3 linked regions of the Bombyx mori genome follow. The protein of the gene in region 1 interacts with the protein of each later gene in a biochemical or structural test. Links are inferred from orthologs where the notes say so. Each region holds a gene or a part of one and is shown on either strand. Other genes may lie near its edges.

Region 1 (5,374 bases):
GTACACATGGGATTAAAATATATGGTTCACTCATGTATTTAATATAAATTTTAAATTACTTAACTTTGTTCAATTTGGAAAAATATATTAGTAATTTTATAATACTTTTACCTGTGGTTTCGCTCATGTTAATAGTATGACTACCAAAAGGCTATCAATTAAATATGTTTTATATATATATATAGATAAATTACATTAGAAGGAATAAATAGAGATTTTAGGTAAGTATATGCTGATGTTTTTTTTAATCATACATAAAAAATATTTTGTTAAGCACTTCATTCCATCATAAATTACATGCCATCCATTACATCACTTTCTCCAAAATTGCTAGTGCTAGCGGCAGGAACATCATCTTCATCATCATAATATGTGTAATGATCGAAATCATCTGCATATTTGGTATCCGATATGCAATCATCATCACACAACATGAATAATAAATTCTTTAGTCAATGTGTCGACCACATAATCACTTTTCCTATATTCCCTTCGATTTTATTCACTATTTGGCACATTTTATTACAATGAGTGGCAGCCATGAAATTGACTTTTTATTTGATCAGGTCGCTTTAAAGCAGACAGCTTTAAAGCTTTAACTAACATTCTTGTTGCTAACATTAAAGTACAGTTAGTTTACTGTTAGTTATAAATTGCAGTCTATTTAATTGATATTATTTTTTATTTTATCAGTATTACAGTGGCTATTTTACTACCTAACACTGTATTTTCATGTTGAGAATAAAGTTTAAAATAGTACGTTATTAGCATATTATAATAATACTTGAGTACTTGAACCATACAAAGTTGATAAATACTATTCATATATACTATTTATATGATATTGATAAACACTGTTTTATTAAAAAGGGGTAATATGGAGGGTTACACTTTTTAAATTATATAAAATGTTTTTTCTTTTGACAGTTAATTTGTGCTCAAACACAATAGATAAATTGCAAATCTACAGAGAGAATTTTGAAGCTGCATATATGCAAGCCACAGAAGAATTTTATAAATTGAAAGCAAGTGAACATTTGCTTGCCAATGGAGTTCAGTCATATATGAAGTATGCTGATCAACGTCTCAAAGAAGAAGAGGCTCGTGCTCACCGATATTTGGAGCCAGGAAGTGGTAGTGTAGCTGCATTAACTCAATGTTGTGAAAGAGTACTTATTGGAGAGCATCTTCCAACACTTTTAGCTGAAAGTGCTACATTGATTAAAGCTGGTGAGACAGAAAAGTTGCAACTTATGTTTCGTTTATTGGATAGGGTCCCAGAAGGAGTCGTGCCGATATTGAGAGATTTAGAAGCCCATATAGTATCTGCAGGCTTAGCTGACATGGTTGCATCAGCAGATATCATAACAACAGACTCTGAAAAGTATGTAGAGCGTTTGTTGGATTTATTCAGAAAATTTAGTATGTTAGTTAAAGATGCCTTCTTGGATGATCCAAGGTTTTTAACTGCCAGGGACAAGGCCTATAAATGCGTGGTAAATGATACAACTGTTTTTAAACTTGAGTTGCCTTCATCAACTCTTGCCCGTGGTAGTAAAGGTACAGCTCCTGAAAGCAAGTGCCCTGAACTTCTCGCTAACTATTGTGATATGTTATTACGAAAAACACCGCTAAGTAAAAGATTAACTAGTGAACAGATAGAAATAAGATTAAGAGACGTTTTGTTAGTTTTGAAATATATTGAAAACAAAGATGTATTTATGAGGTATCATAAGGTTCATTTAACAAGAAGATTGATATTAGACTCAAGTGCGGACTCTGAAAAAGAAGAGGATATGGTAGAGTGGTTACGTGAAGTAGGTATGCCTGCAGACTATGTAAATAAATTAGCACGAATGTTTCAAGATGTAAAAGTAAGTGAGGATCTGAATACACAATTTAGGGCAGACACAACTCGTCATGATGCCATCAATATTAAAATACTCAATGCTGGAGCTTGGGCCCGTGGATCTGAAAGAGTAACAGTAAGTCTGCCACTAGAATTAGAAGACTATATTCCTGAAGTTGAAGAGTTTTATAAAAAAAAGCATTCAGGTAGAAAATTGCAGTGGTATCATCACATGAGCAATGGCACTATAACATTTGCTAATTCAGTAGGTCGTTTTGACTTGGATGTTACAACTTTTCAAATGGCAGTGCTATTTGCATGGAATCAAAGACCTATGGAAAAAATAAGTTATGAAAATTTGAGATTAGCAACAGAACTTCCAGACCCTGAACTGAGAAGGACTTTATGGTCTCTTGTGGCTTTCCCAAAATTAAAAAGGCAATTGTTGTGCTATGATCCATTGATTCAAAATCCTAAAGACTTTGTCCAGAATACAATATTTTGGGTAAATCAGGAATTTGCGCTTATTAAGAATGGAAAACCACAACGTAGGGGTAAAATAAATTTGATTGGAAGACTTCAGTTGAGTACAGAGAGATCTCAAATAGAAGATAATCATTCCATTGTGCAGCTAAGAATATTGAGGACTCAAGAGGCAATCATAAAAATACTAAAGATGAGGAAACGCATTACAAACACAGCACTTCAGGTATGGAACTTATATATTTTTGTTTCGATGTACAGTAAAAGCTCTATTTGCAGGCTATATTTTCCCTAAATATGCTGCGAATATGGAAAAGCGCGTTTACAAAGGATGTTCGGTTCGACCTCCTACCTTGGAATCTTTTATATCAATGTGTATGTACTGATTAGATTTCGAGATAGAGATTCGTGAATCAAGAAATCTTTAGGCGCGAACGTAGGCATTAGGTCGCATTTTTTTAATCAGCGAATAGTGAAAGCGCGAATAAAGAGCTTTTACTGTGTTAACTTTGAATATCTGTTCCAAACATGTGTACATGAATGCTTTCCACTAAAAACAAATATGTATATAAATACTTAAGGTAAGCTTTTTGTGTTAGGAGATTGCATCAGTAAGTACTGTATTCCTTACAGGTTACACTCATAATAGTGCAAAGTGGTCTTCTACCACATGGGGTAGTAGTGTTTTTATATTTCAGTAACCACACTTGATACCAAGTAGATACTGAGCTAGTTCATGCTGCACAAATGATGATTGATTATAATTTTGCCATGACTTAACAAAAGAAAAATTTGAACATACTTAGGTATAATAAATTGGTTTGGAAGAAAGCCTTTGCTTAAATAAATAAGTTTTGACAATGTTTTCGTAATTGCTTTCATGATTCTTAATTCTCCAATAAATGTTATATGGTATTTAAATAATTGAAAAGGTGTGTTGGGTTCACATATTCAAATATTACATCTTATTCTAAGCAGCAGAAATTCAGACGATAAGGGCTGACGAAGTGACGAAGATCACCAATTGAAGATTTTTCTTGTATTGTTCACTAATAAATACATTCTCCTTGTCTCCACCTTATACCACTAAGTGGGATCGACACTGCCAATGTTTGTATTCTCCTCTATCAGCCGTCATCTCAACACTCACTCCTCTCTCTCTCATATCGTCATTCACACTCCATCCATGTCTTCTTCGGTCGACCTTTTTTCCCCTGCAGGATACCACAATTTCCATACATCTCCTATTTACGTGCATCTCTACGCATCACAATATGACCATAACACGCTAACCGTCCGCTCTTTATAAATAAGTAACAAATTTTTATTATTTTTATTCCTTGCAGAGCGAGCTGGTAGAGATTCTAAAAAATATGTTTCTACCATCGAAGAAAATGATAAAAGAGCAATTAGAATGGCTTATTGAACATAAATATATGCGTCGCGACGACGAAGATATTAACACGTTTATATACATGGCCTAAAGTCAATAATGTAAATGAATAAAATCAATAAATTATTTACTCTATTTCTCTGTTTATATATCTATATCTGTAGTCTCTGTTAATAGTTCAAAATATCATGTGTTGTTTATTAGTAATTGTAAGGTAGGTAACATAAATGCATATTGATATTATGTTAATATTTTATTAAATACATAGAACATAGTTTACATTATTAAATGTAAAAAAAACATAAAATTAGTTGTTGGCTGGTTCTATAGTTGTACCTCCTTGAATTTGTCCCCAACCAATTAACCTGAAAATAAGTAATAATATGTTGACAAAACTTGTTTCAAAGCACATGTGGTATACCAGTTATGCATTGATACTAACCGCCAGTGATTTTCTACTCTTCTACTCAATGCTACTTTTTCTCCAATTTCCGTGCAAACAGGGTTCGTAAGGGCGATTTTAGCCAAATCAACTTTTGTGGCGATTACTCGGCCGCCAGTACTTAACGATCCAATATTTACGAGGAGGACCTAAAAAATATTTAATGTGCAACTTTAATTACAATAGATGTGTGATCAACCTAACGGCCCAAATAGTGCTAAGACATTACTGTAGTTTCTAAATAATGTACCACTGTTAATTACCTCATTTTTGACTAATTTTTGGACTTTGGCAGCCTTTTTATCTCCTTCAGTGCGCACGCCAAGCAAACGTTTCAAAAGATAATAAGATACTTCGAGTTTGACAAAAATTCCCGGTAAACATCCAACTGCTCCTAATACCTGCGAAATTAACAGAAATAAGTTAGTGCCTATTGTAAAAATATCCATAGAATAGGTATTATTTTTTGCATTTGATGAGTAACGCCGCATCTCTGATATTAAATGGTTAACGGTGCCAAAACCTCAGAAATGTGAATGCCGCCACCCGCCTAGGGAGTTGTCCAATGTCCCATCCTTCAAACTTTAATTGATAACTGATTATTGATAGAAATGGACAGGACGGTAGAACCTATCAGTGCCATCGTCAGTAATTAAACTTATAAATATCAATCTTGGAAGTAATTTTTACAGCTGAAAGATGCTTAAAATAAACATACTTGTCCCACAAGTCTATCAGCACGGCACAGCGTTGGTTCGATCTTCGTTCCTACGCCAATAAGACCACCAGGGACGGCATACTGTAGCTCATTCTGCTCGGCAAACAGCGAAACGATGCGTGAAAATATGGGTCGGCAAGTTAATTTACCATCTGCATCCTTACTGACTAAACCAGGCCGCACCTGTGAAATAAGTGTTTATGTGTTGAAAAATATATTAACTATTATTATTTATTTACCATGACAGACAATACGTACTTCGATTTCCATACCGACAGTTAGAACTCCTTGAAGAATTGATCCTCCTGCCACGCCACCCCGTAGATCGTCAACCTCGCAACCAGGCTTATTTACATCGAATGAACGAATAACAATCATACGAGGAGGCGATGTGAAATCCCTTAGGGGTACGGGAATCTTTTTTGTTATATACTCGCAGAGGACCTTTAAAAAAATGTTTTTATTGTTAGTTGAAATATTTATTCAATG
Region 2 (6,586 bases), on another chromosome or scaffold:
TTCAAACGAACGAATATACTGTCGACCCTGCATGCATTAAGCCCGGCATTTATAACGAGTAACGCACAGATCAAAGAGCAGCCTACGCCGACACGTGTCACTTATTCTCATAACAGCGAAAAACGTGATAAAATTGAAATGTCCAAAATGCAGGGTGCACTTAGTAAGATATGAATATGAATTTTAATATGTTTTATTGATGTAGTCGTTCTGCTGTGTATTGCTAATTATTATAATTGTTTTTTTTTAATGTTACGTAGCTCGATGTGAACTTCGAGTAATATTTTTTTTTTCAATTGCATACTTTTCCTAAGCTGTCATTTATCTTTGGTCAGGATGCGAAAGTGATTAATTTCTGAAAATGAAAATCGTGCCCCACAATAATACAGTAGTTTAGGTAAGTTATGAATTTTATCATTGTAAGTTACAGGTTTGATATGAAGTAGACAAACAAAAAGAAATGAATTATAGAAATATAACTATCAACATTAACTTTATTTGTATTGTCGCTTGTATAATGGGTTTAATAGTTATGTTTAAGTTATTGGTTCATAATATTTTAGTAAATAAATAAACCAAATTCGACTTTATCTCCAGCAGCAATATGCAATTTAAAGTTTAACCATAGTGAACTTTTTAATAGTAAAATTTTCACACTTATTTCGGCCACGGTAGTTTTTGCGTGATACATTTTTTTATATTGACATAGGCGATAAACCAGCAAACTTACTTTGAAGTTGAGGTCTCAATTGTATTAGTTTTTTTTTTATTGCTTATATGGGTAGACGAGCTCACAGCCCACCTGGTGTTAAGTGGTTACTGAAGCCCATAGACATCTACAATGTAAATGCGCCACCCACTTTGAGATATCAGTTCTAAGGTCTCAGTATAGTTACAACGGCTGCCCCACCCTTCAAATCGAAACGCATTACTGCTTCACGGGAGAAATAAGCAGGGTGGTGGTACCTACCCGCGCGGACACACAAGAGGTCCTACCACCAGTAAGTACCATTGTAAAACGTTTCTCTTCAAACGGAAACCCATGACTGCTTTTCGGCTGAAATAAGCAAGACGGCGGCGGTACTTATGGGTGTGGATTTAAATAATATACGCCTCACCACCAAAAATTTCGCCGCTTCATTTTATTACACGATGTTGTTATTTGTTGGTGGAAGTAGTTCTTGAACACTGATGTGATGCGTATGTTATTAAAAAAAAGGTAAATTGGTTTAAAAAAATTGGTACTGCCTGCCACTGCAGGCATTTGCCATGAACACTGACCTGATTATGTCATCGTTTGATAAGAGTACATCGGGCATCTTATCCTTTTGGATAACTTGAAAAGAATTTAACAATCAATGAAAAACGGACTAAGAAAATTAATTGGACTCAAGTATAGTTAACCAAAGCACTCTCTAATTCTATAATACTAAGCTTAGATAGATTCAAATAAATTATTTCGAATAGTTAATGTTTTAATAGTAGTGTACATACCTATATTCTACTGTATGAGACAGCCTTATTGCGAAGATGTATTGTTAACAATAGAAGACGACAACTGATAGTTATCGGCAAACACTTACCAAGAGATAAGTTTAAGTGCACTTTATACATTTCACAGGATGTGTGCCGCCTATTGTATTTTAAAAAAAATTATGGAAGTACTTAAATTCGTCCGATTGAGATGTTTCACATTGATTTTGTTTTCTAATCTCTTCGAAAACTTTTTAATTACGATTAGTTAGATAAAATATGTAGAAAAAATATTATTTTTATATTTTCTTTAATTATTATTGAAAGCTAACGTGACAACATTTTAAAATTGTACTTTACAGATCGAGTAAGGGTAAAGACTGACATTTGATTCATGAATAATGGCGTTACGAAAATCCTTGTTAGCTTTATCGTGGATCGAAATCAAGAATAATAATTTAAGTAGCCCTATAAAATAAGTATAATAGCATACAAAAATATCACATTTCACTGTATGACATCCTGGCTTGACTACCCCTTGATAAATCGGTCGTATATAACATACATTTATCTCGCTACAAAGGAACAAAAGCATCGATACAAGTATATAAAACACTCGAAACTTCCAAAAAGGATAATGCCCATCATTATAAATTCATGTGCTTTGTCGTTTACAGTATTTATTTTCAACAGTTTCGTTAGGGGAAAACCCTCTTTTCGCTCGAAAGCTCCCGAAAGCGTTGAGAGAAGGCGTCGGGCGTTTCGTTCGGGCACGGGTATTGGCTCCACACTTCCCCACCACGCTAAGTCTCCGCCCTAATGAAAATTCTCCCCTAGAGCATGGTATGAGATTTCATTCAGTACCGGAATGTCACGGAGGCAGGTGGTCGTGTCGTAGTACGTACGTCAATTCGTATTATTTGAGTCATTCGTAACGCTGAGTCAGTGAGGCACGCGCGCTAAGTGATGTTTGGTTCCGTGCAAGCAAAGCTATAGGAGCCGTAGGTTATGCACGCTATGAGTGATCCTTCGCCGTTGGCCGGCATGTTGCCTTTTGACTCTATCTACGAGCAGCCAAAGCCAAGGTTCATTTTCAAAATGCCACGTGTAGTGCCCGATCAAAAAGCCAAATTCGAATCAGACGATCTCTTCAAAAGACTTAGCAGAGAAAGTGAGGTGAGTTTTTATAAATGCCAACTTTAACAATTGTATGCAAAGTGAATTGAGTATTCGTTTTTAAATTTTAATGGTCCGATTGCTAAGCCATGCTTTAAACAAACAGGAAAATAATGCATTTGTATAATGTTATATTAGTCATCGACAAATAATTAGCGTAAAATACTTTAACTTATAGTAGTAGTTAGTTCTACATGATAAATATAATAACAAAAAAATTGAAAATTCACTAATACTTATTTAAAACATTTGTAATTCTTAATTTTATTAATTTTTTAATTCCATATAACATGTTATTACAAGGAACAATTGACGATAGGATGATTTAAACCTTTTTCGATCAGAATGTACGAAGTTTGACCGAGTAGAAGGTTCTTTGATTGAAACATAAAATAGTTTCAAACATATTTCATTTATTTCTTATTATCTTATCTTATCAATTATCATTTACTGAACTTAATTTTGATTAAAATAAACGCATTACTATGTACATACCCGACCTAAATACTGAATCTGCATGCTAACTTTCATATCTAACTAAAAGAGAAATCATAAATTCATGTTTATCTTATGGAATTCATGGATTTCGCTGTGAATTTACAATACACCCACAAAAAGAAGAAAAAAAACAAGTCAGAAAGATATGAAAAGGAGTAGGTATACTTAATATGAGACTTCAAAGCGATATTAGCCCACTGAGTTTCTCGCCGGATCTTCTCAGTGGGTCGCGTTTCCGATCCGGTGGTAGATTCTGCGAAGCACTACTCTTGCTAGGGTCAGTGTTAGCAACACTCCGGTTTGAGCCCCGTGAGCTCACCTACACACGTCAGGGTGAAGCTGAAATAGCCTCTCAATACTATCAGCATAGGTAGGAAAAAAAAAGAGGAAAAAAATAAATAAATACAAAAGCGATATGCGGAAATAACAATTAGGAAACAGGTTAATGATGTTCTGGGTTATCGTTAGAAACTTGAACGTATGTATGTACATACATCTAAGCGGCTCAATCCACATCGCACGAATAAATAGCAGTAAAATAATTCATTGTAACCATGTTTAGGGCATATCTATGAAAATTAACAGACGAGTACGAAAACACTTATTACCGGTGGTAGGGACCTTTTGTGAGTCCGCACGGATAGGTACCACCGCCCTGCCTATTTCTGCCGTGAAGCAGTGATGCGTTTCGGTTTGAAGGGTGGGGCAGCCGTCGTAACTATACTGAGACCTTAGAACTTATGTCTCAAGGTGGGTGGCGTATTTGCGTTGTAGATACCACCACTTAGTGTAGTAACCACTTAACACCAGGTGGGCTGTGAGCTCGTCCAGCCATCTAAGCAATAAAAAAAAAAGACATACATGTAAATAGTTATTGGAAATACCTGAGGAATAGCCTAGGATAAAACTAAATAGCATACGGAAAGGAAACCTATACTCGTCGAATGATCCCAAATCATAGATACAGCCCACTGAGTTTCTCGCCGAACCTTCTCAGAGGGTCGCGTTTTCGATCCGGTGGTAGATTCTGCGAAGAACTGCTCTTGCTAGGGTCAGTGTAAGCATCACTCCGGTTTGACCCCGTGAGCTCACCTACTAGCTAAGGTTACGCTGAAATAGCCTCTCAAGGCTCGGCTTAGGTAGGAATTTAAAAAAAACCAGCAAATGAACACAGCATTAAATTTTATTCAAATCAATTTAACGATTTATCTTTAATAGCTCGAATTTAATTTATTCAAGCTTTATTTAAATTTACTATAAACTTTAGTAATTAATTGACCAAATAGGAAATAAATGACTAATACAATGAAATAATAAATAATCATTATAAGTAGGTTTACTTATTTCACGTGCAATAAAAAATCTGCTGCACATTCTGTTGCACAAACTTGTCTGAAGGAATTTCATAACTTTTTTAATGATTCGCAAACCTTCTGTTGTAAATCAAAACGAGTAAGCATTTACAAGAGCGATCATCAAGTAGACAAGAATAGCCTAAAAGAAATTATCCACGGTGTACTAACCGAATTGAAGAAGGAATATATTTATAAATATCAATAGTATAATGCACTCCTCTTACTGTCCATATTGTGAATATTTATTTTTTAGCGCACTACGCACTAGATGATGTTTATGTAAATAGATTTTCAAAATGCTTTGATACGCAAGATAAACAGTATATTTATGGGATGATATATTTGTTGGCAGGTTAGATACACTGGATACCGAGACCGGCCTCCCGAAGAACGCCAGATGCGATTCATGAGCGGTTGCCGCGAGGGACACACGGAGATAGCGTTTACCGGTACCGGCACAAACCTTCAGCTTGTCTTCGATCACTCACCCTACAACAACCGTGGCTGCGACTTTCAAAAGGAAAATGGAAAAGTAAGTCTTAAATGTTGTTTTACGTAAACATCGAAACGGTTTTCTGGTCAATGGTAGCCAGGTCGTCTGATGAATGAAGTGAGGAAATTTTGAAATGGTAATTTTTACATAGCTGCGTTTTGTTTGAAAAAATCTCTGCGTAAACGGCCTTCTGGAAGAGATCGTAAATAATATTAAATTAAATAATTAATTTAAAAAATAATATTTACTTATTCGTTTTTAAATTAAATTATGTTTCGTATGTTTCAAATAAAGTATCTTTCTTATCAACTACAGTGATTTGGAATAAAGTTGTATCTAAAAAAATATCACTGACCAGTAAGTTAGTTATACATATTTTGTTAGATACAGTTTTCATCACTGACATGCGAAAGGAATTTTACTGAAATGTATGAAGTGATTGGTTTTCTTCTATGCCTAACTGTAACTGACAGTTGGATCAACAGCGTAGTTCTTAATGCCGGTTGTACATACTCGTCTCATGGTTTCGCGTGCCTCTCGCTTGCTCTCGTCGCCTAGAGGCTCGACACGAGACCACACCATGTACACACTCGAATGTGATGAACTTCGGATGCCCGTTGCGATGGACCTAGAAGAAGATGACGCAGTTGGCGGACAACTAAATGAACGAGTGTGTACAGGCGCGCTCTCGTTTTCATCGCGAAACTTCCCGAGATCATTTGACTCGAGCGCAAAAAACCGACACGCTTCCCAGAGCCACGAGACGAGACGAGGGTGCCATGTACACACTCGTCCTCAGCATGTCTTTTTCACCGTCCTCACTGAACCTTGCTTGTTGCTTGCGTCGAGGGGCTCAGCAAGTAAATTAACCCATAGACACAACCCACTGAGTTTCTCGCCGGACCTTCTCAGTGGGTCGCGTTTCCGACCCGGTGGTAGATTCTGCAAAGTACTGCTCTTGCTAGGGCCAGTGTTAGCAACACTTCCGGTTTGAGCCCCGAGAGCTCACTTACCCGCTAGGGTGAAGTTGAAATAGCCTCTCAAGGCTATCGGCATATGTAGGATAAAAAAACCTCGGCCTATTTCGTGGTGTCTTGACGAGTGTGTACAGCCAGCGTAATAATATAATTTTGATAAGATTATATTCTCTCTCTTCTATATTACTCTCTTATTCTATATTATTCTTATATTCTCTCTAAAGATGTACATTTGTTTCATGACGAACACTGAAAAAGAAACCCAACCTTTAAACTCGGAAACACTACGAATAATAAAACTATTATTATTCGTAGTAGAAACCTAATTAAGTACAAACGACATATTATGTAGTTTGCTTTAAGTTTTCTTGGCACATTGGTAAATTTTTTTTGATGATTGAAGGATTACTAGTGGCCCGGATGCCTTTCCAGTTTCTCCAGGAGAGGTGTTAGTAAGGTCTGCTCCTATGTAAAATAAACTCAATACTGGGTATGCAAATGTACTAACTTAAAATTCAGCTTAACTTAAATTGTAAATTTCAGCTTAACTTACAGCATTGCGTTAGTATCATATTAGTGATATAGGATAAAAAGTACACATACATTGAAAACGA
Region 3 (5,429 bases), on another chromosome or scaffold:
GTGGGTGGCGGGATTTACGTTGTTGATGTCTATGGGCACTGGTGACCACTTAAGATGGCCGTGGGCTCGTCTACCCATCTAAGCAACTAAAAAAAGCAATTAAGCAATAAATAAAAAAGCATCTAAGCAATTAAGCCTAAAATGAATTTTGTGAAACAGATGCTGAGCGGTCAACTGGCCCTCATAATGGCCACAAACGGCTCAAAACATTAACTACGTGTACGGAGTGAACACAATTTTTTTTTGCCTACCAATTGGTAATAACCTCAAGGGGCTATACTCTAGCTAGCTTCACCGAACGTGCATGCAAGATGACAGGGCTCAGCCTGGAAGACTTTATTAGCATCTGCATGAACACTACAAACAAACGCACGATTCTTTATTGGTTTAATGGCATCCGAAACGGTAATTTTAATCAGAAAAATAAAGTTAAAGTCGAAAACTAAAGTCAACAGCGACGAATTAAAGGCGGTGTGGAAGCTGACGATTACTCAATCTATTGCTGAGTCAGCAGCAGCTTTCAACGTTAAATTGTCAAGGTAAAAAAAAAAACTAGATAAGTGCGTGCCGCACGAACTCAACGATCGCCAGAACGATTAAGGCTTTAAAATATTCCTTGCGTTGGTTACCAGACACAGAAACAAAGGGATTTTAAGCCGCACTGTCACATGCTACAAAAAATGGATTCACTTTAATAACCGTAAACAATCATCATATTGGTAAGACCTTGGTTTGGCACTTAGGATATAACCCAAACTAAAACGTAACTCAAAAAAGTCATGTTCAACAGCTTTTTACCACTCACTATGTGAACTGTGAAGAACTGGAAACAATGATGGAGGAGATTTCCGAATCTCCGGCTAGCCTTGGTTAATCACTCGTACCCGCTGCTCCGACACGGCAACGCTCGATCCCATATGGCACAACCTACAGACTCTACACTACAGGCGCTAGGGTTAGATGTTTTACGTTATCCACCACTCACCAGAACCTGCGCCAACAGCTTTCTACTTTTTCCAAAGTTGCACAATTCTTTTTGCAAGGAAAAAATACAATACCCGAGAGGCAGTACAAAATGTCTTTGAAGAGTTTGTTAGCTCCAATGCACGTGGTTTCTTCAAGAAAGGCATTAAAAAATTAGCACGGCGCTTGGAGACATGCATCAAAACCATTGCAACTTTTATTGAGAGAAATAAAAAAATTAAAAAATTACTGTGATTAATGGTTTATATACCGTGATCATGGCGCTTTACAAAAAGGCGAAATTCACTAAAATAAACAATCGTGGTGAGAGCACTATCAATAAGATATAGACATAATCAAGTGACTGGGATTATCCATCAACAGCTTGCTCTGAAATATAGCTTAGTTGATTCTGCTGTACCTTATTACTAATACCAACCTCAGCAGCAAATTCTTAAAAATGGTCATGTAACGCTCTACTGGAATCGATCTATTATCATGGATAGGTCTATTGTTGCCAATAAGCATGTTATTGTTATTGGTCTGCACATCGAGCAATTTTGGTTGATATCACCATCCTCATGACGAGAACCTAGTAAAGACAGGAAAGGACAAATTAATAAAATATTTAGGCCTCATTCACGAGACTATCACCATGTGGCATGTTGATTCAACCATCATTGTTCCAGTAGTTTCAGTACAAAGTTTGATAGTGAACATTTTCGTTATCCAGCTGGGTTGGGGTCTGGTACAAAAATCAGTCATTCTTGATACGGCGCATATTGTGAGGAAGTTTCTCACTCTGGAGACCTAACAGCTTGTGTCGTAGACACCGCCATCGGCGACAATAATCGTTTTATGTAGTGTTTTTTTTAAATAGTTTTTGTAATATTTTTTATTTTATTAAAATACCGTATAATTAATAAGATTTAGATAGATAAGATTTAAAAATACAGTATAATAAATAACACTTTGAAACACAATGAGGTGAACACATTCATATCTGGATGCACTATATAGAAAAGTCGGGTGTTAGTGAAATATGTTAATTCCTCTAATTACAAACGATTTTTCGGGAAAGTTTATTTAACAACTTGGCAACATTGTTAATCTGACAAGCCGATTTTTGGCCTAAAGGTCTAGATACCAGGCCATAATCTTCAAAATAAAAAGCCGATTTTCGGTACTTGTAACACTAATAATGTCAAAAACGTCAAAAAACAAATCAACATGAAGTTTTTAAAATTTCGATTCAGCTGTCAAAAACATAATACACAACCTAACAACTCTTGGTTATTTTTTAATAAAACGGGGTAGTTTAATTTGAAAATGGCTTCTGTGATGGATGTTGATGAAGAAGAAGTTGAAATGGCTTCGTCTAGTAGTGGCAAAGGAGATAAAAAAAGATTCGAAGTAAAAAAGGTGAGGTGCCATTTTGCAAACTCATTGTTGAGCTCTTAATATTGAAAATTTCTTTGTTGTTTCTAGTTTTAATGTAAACAATTTTGTTACAGTGGAATGCAGTAGCACTCTGGGCTTGGGGTAGGTTTCTTGATAATAAAGTTTCGTAACCTCTACATCGTTCTGAACATGATTTTGCTTTCCAGATATTGTTGTCGACAACTGTGCTATTTGCCGAAATCACATAATGGATCTGTGTATCGAATGCCAAGCAAATCAAGCCTCAGCCACTAGTGAAGAATGCACAGTTGCTTGGGGTGTTTGTAATGTATGAGTACCAATTTTGGAAAACACAATCATTATTGACTCAAAACTAATTTATTTAATTGCTTGTTTTTGTTACAGCATGCATTCCATTTCCACTGTATTTCCCGTTGGTTGAAGACTCGACAAGTTTGTCCACTAGACAATAGAGAATGGGAGTTCCAAAAGCAAGTACATTTTATAAAGATATATTACCATATATTCCGTATAATACTTTAATATTGAAATTGGTTGAGTGGTAAATAAATCAATGATAAGGTATCAAAACTTGTTCACATTTAATATAGACAAGATATATTCTATTAATAATATATTTATATTTTTACAGGTATGGTCATTAAATGTCATTTAGAAGAGCTGCATCCTGCACAGGAGTTTGACATCTTCTGAACATAGGGAATTAACATGTCAATATCTATTAAGTTTGTAATAATAAAATAACTCTTACAAAATTCTGTATGTGAATTTTAATTGAAAATTCGTTGAAAATCTGTTGTTCATAATAATCTGGCATAAAAATAGTAAACTCCTATGATTATAAATAAAAATTTTACTTAATGGAAGCAAGTCACTCCAAGATATTCTTGCAAGCACGTTATAAATTACAAGGTAAATAAAAATTACATAAATTACTCAATAAAGTATAAAAAGAATTTTCAGAGGCATTTTATTGTGATATTTATTTAATTATTATTTTACAGTCACTAATTTGTTAACATTGTGGAACTTTTCTGATTTTTATACCCATTCCCAGGGAATATCACAAAAGCTAGTAGCCATAACTAGCAAAATATTATTACTATACTGTACCTTAGTAACATAAAACTAGGCTCATTATGATATACCAAATGAAAGTTTCAATGTTCTAAAATATTGTGAACCACATTTAACAGTCTGTTGTAATATTGGTATCCAAACCCCATTTCATTTGTAAATATTTCACAAAATACTTCATATGAATAATGAATAGTAAAGAAACAAATATTATTTTTCATATAAGTCACTGGCAGATATTTTAAAAAATGCTTAGAATCAAGAGAAGTATTAGTCAAAGTACAAAATGCTTACTCAATTTTGGAGATAAACAAGAAATTTACAAACAACCAACAATCAATACCACAAATTTGCAAGCAAATTTCAAGGTTCAGTTCACATTACACTTTGGCTTCTCTTGATTCATTCTAGTCCTGGACGCTGGCATGTATTTGGATCATTATTTTGGGATTAGATTCAACTGTTACGAAACAATTTATTCAATAGTTTGTAACACTAAATAATTGTAATTGATAAATAAAGGAATAAACAACAACTTTACTTGAAGTCAGCACTCAACAACAATGCTCATTACAAAATTAATCCATGATACCTAGTTCAAATATGTCAGTACTAGTTTTGCTTTCCACAGACAAGTTTTTACATATTAAGTAATCAACTTTTGTCTTTTATCTTTTGCAATGTGGATAACAATTGATTAATAATTTCTCAATAAGTACAATATGCTAACTAATTAAGATCCTGTGAGTTATCATAATTAAGTTAATTAAAATTACCATTACAAAGAACACTTTTTTTACAATTATTTACATGATACTATTAATACACTATAATTCATTTATTACTACGATTTAATTGTAATTTTTGTTCTTTAATGAAAACGGGAAAAATAATTGTGCTAATTAAATAATAATGACATTATTTCACTATTGGATTTAATAAATATTGGAATCATCAAATAAAATCCAAAACCTATCACACAATACTCAAATTTCCAAATTTTACATCACAAAATAAATACTAGGTAAAATAATTCTAGTCAGTGATAATTATACTAATTATTGAAAATAACGGTGGAAACAACAATAAGGTAGTTGCGGCTGTCAGTCTGCTGATAAAGCTGTAGGCAAATCGATAGTGCGACTTTCGTTGCCAAAAATTAATCTTAGGCGTTTCATTGGAGGCAGAGGACGGACAGGACTATGTTTTCGATGTCGTTCCTTGGATCGACGTCGTTTCTTCAAGCGTCTAGCAGTTTCGGGATCGACACCTTCTAATCGTAAAACTTCATACTCTGGTGCTTCAGCAGGTGCTCCACAATCCATTACCTCTTCAACAACAGGACTTCGTTTTACACGTAATGTCAACTTCAATCCACGCCTTGGTGGAGTACAAGGGCAATCACTGCTTTTATTAGAATTATCCACTAACCAAGGAGGTCCAGAATCAACTTCTCTTTTTGACTCATCACTTCTATTGCTTATTTCTATTTTTTGAACCTTATTGTTTTTACTATTGTTAGGCTCACTTGGATTTACATTTTCCCTAAAATCAATTCCACTCTTTAAAGACGAATTTTCATTTCTCACCGTACAATCAATTTCATCAGGTTCTTTTTGAACCTTTGATTTACTTTCTATAATTTCTATTTTATCCTCTGTCGCTGTAGCTATAGGCAGGTCTGTTTCAGTTAGAGATTCTTTTTTATCACAATTCTTACCACCTAAATGGGTATCAGTATACACAAAAGAATTCAAATCTGAACTGTGTTCATTATCATTTACAATAGGTAGGTCGGGTTTAATGTCAAAATTGGAAATTTCTAAAGTGCTAGGTAAATCAGCCTCTTCTTTTGGTGTATTCACATTTCTTTCATATTTTATGTCTGAACCTACTTTTGATCCATTTTTTATCTTAGGGAAACTGGGTTGAATGCACGTATCAAGAAGGCGTTTATGACTTCTTAG

Evidence for each region. The genes of interacting proteins can lie anywhere in the genome.
Region 2: the proteins of cullin-5 (region 1) and protein big brother form a complex in vitro, tested with the Homo sapiens proteins (4 studies listed by BioGRID). The link is inferred for Bombyx mori from reciprocal best matches to the Homo sapiens genes CUL5 and CBFB.
Region 3: the proteins of cullin-5 (region 1) and ring box protein form a complex in vitro, tested with the Homo sapiens proteins (4 studies listed by BioGRID and IntAct, with this or other methods). The link is inferred for Bombyx mori from reciprocal best matches to the Homo sapiens genes CUL5 and RBX1.

What each region holds. Positions count from the first base shown.
Region 1 is NC_085129.1:7,723,238-7,728,611, forward strand, and holds the end of cullin-5, read left to right. Parts: intron 1-927; coding exon 928-2,558; intron 2,559-3,678; coding exon 3,679-3,816; 3' UTR 3,817-3,860; downstream 3,861-5,374. UniProt on the Homo sapiens protein: Core component of multiple cullin-5-RING E3 ubiquitin-protein ligase complexes (ECS complexes, also named CRL5 complexes), which mediate the ubiquitination and subsequent proteasomal degradation of target proteins.
Region 2 is NC_085110.1:9,018,800-9,025,385, forward strand, and holds the start of protein big brother, read left to right. Parts: upstream 1-2,220; 5' UTR 2,221-2,481; coding exon 2,482-2,649; intron 2,650-4,854; coding exon 4,855-5,034; intron 5,035-6,586. UniProt on the Homo sapiens protein: Forms the heterodimeric complex core-binding factor (CBF) with RUNX family proteins (RUNX1, RUNX2, and RUNX3).
Region 3 is NC_085119.1:7,170,877-7,176,305, reverse strand, and holds ring box protein, read left to right. Parts: upstream 1-2,233; 5' UTR 2,234-2,292; coding exon 2,293-2,385; intron 2,386-2,477; coding exon 2,478-2,505; intron 2,506-2,570; coding exon 2,571-2,692; intron 2,693-2,769; coding exon 2,770-2,855; intron 2,856-3,016; coding exon 3,017-3,029; 3' UTR 3,030-3,363; downstream 3,364-5,429. Other genes in the region: histone-lysine N-methyltransferase KMT5B, read right to left, coding at 4,566-5,429. UniProt on the Homo sapiens protein: E3 ubiquitin ligase component of multiple cullin-RING-based E3 ubiquitin-protein ligase (CRLs) complexes which mediate the ubiquitination and subsequent proteasomal degradation of target proteins, including proteins involved in cell cycle progression, signal transduction, transcription and transcription-coupled nucleotide excision repair.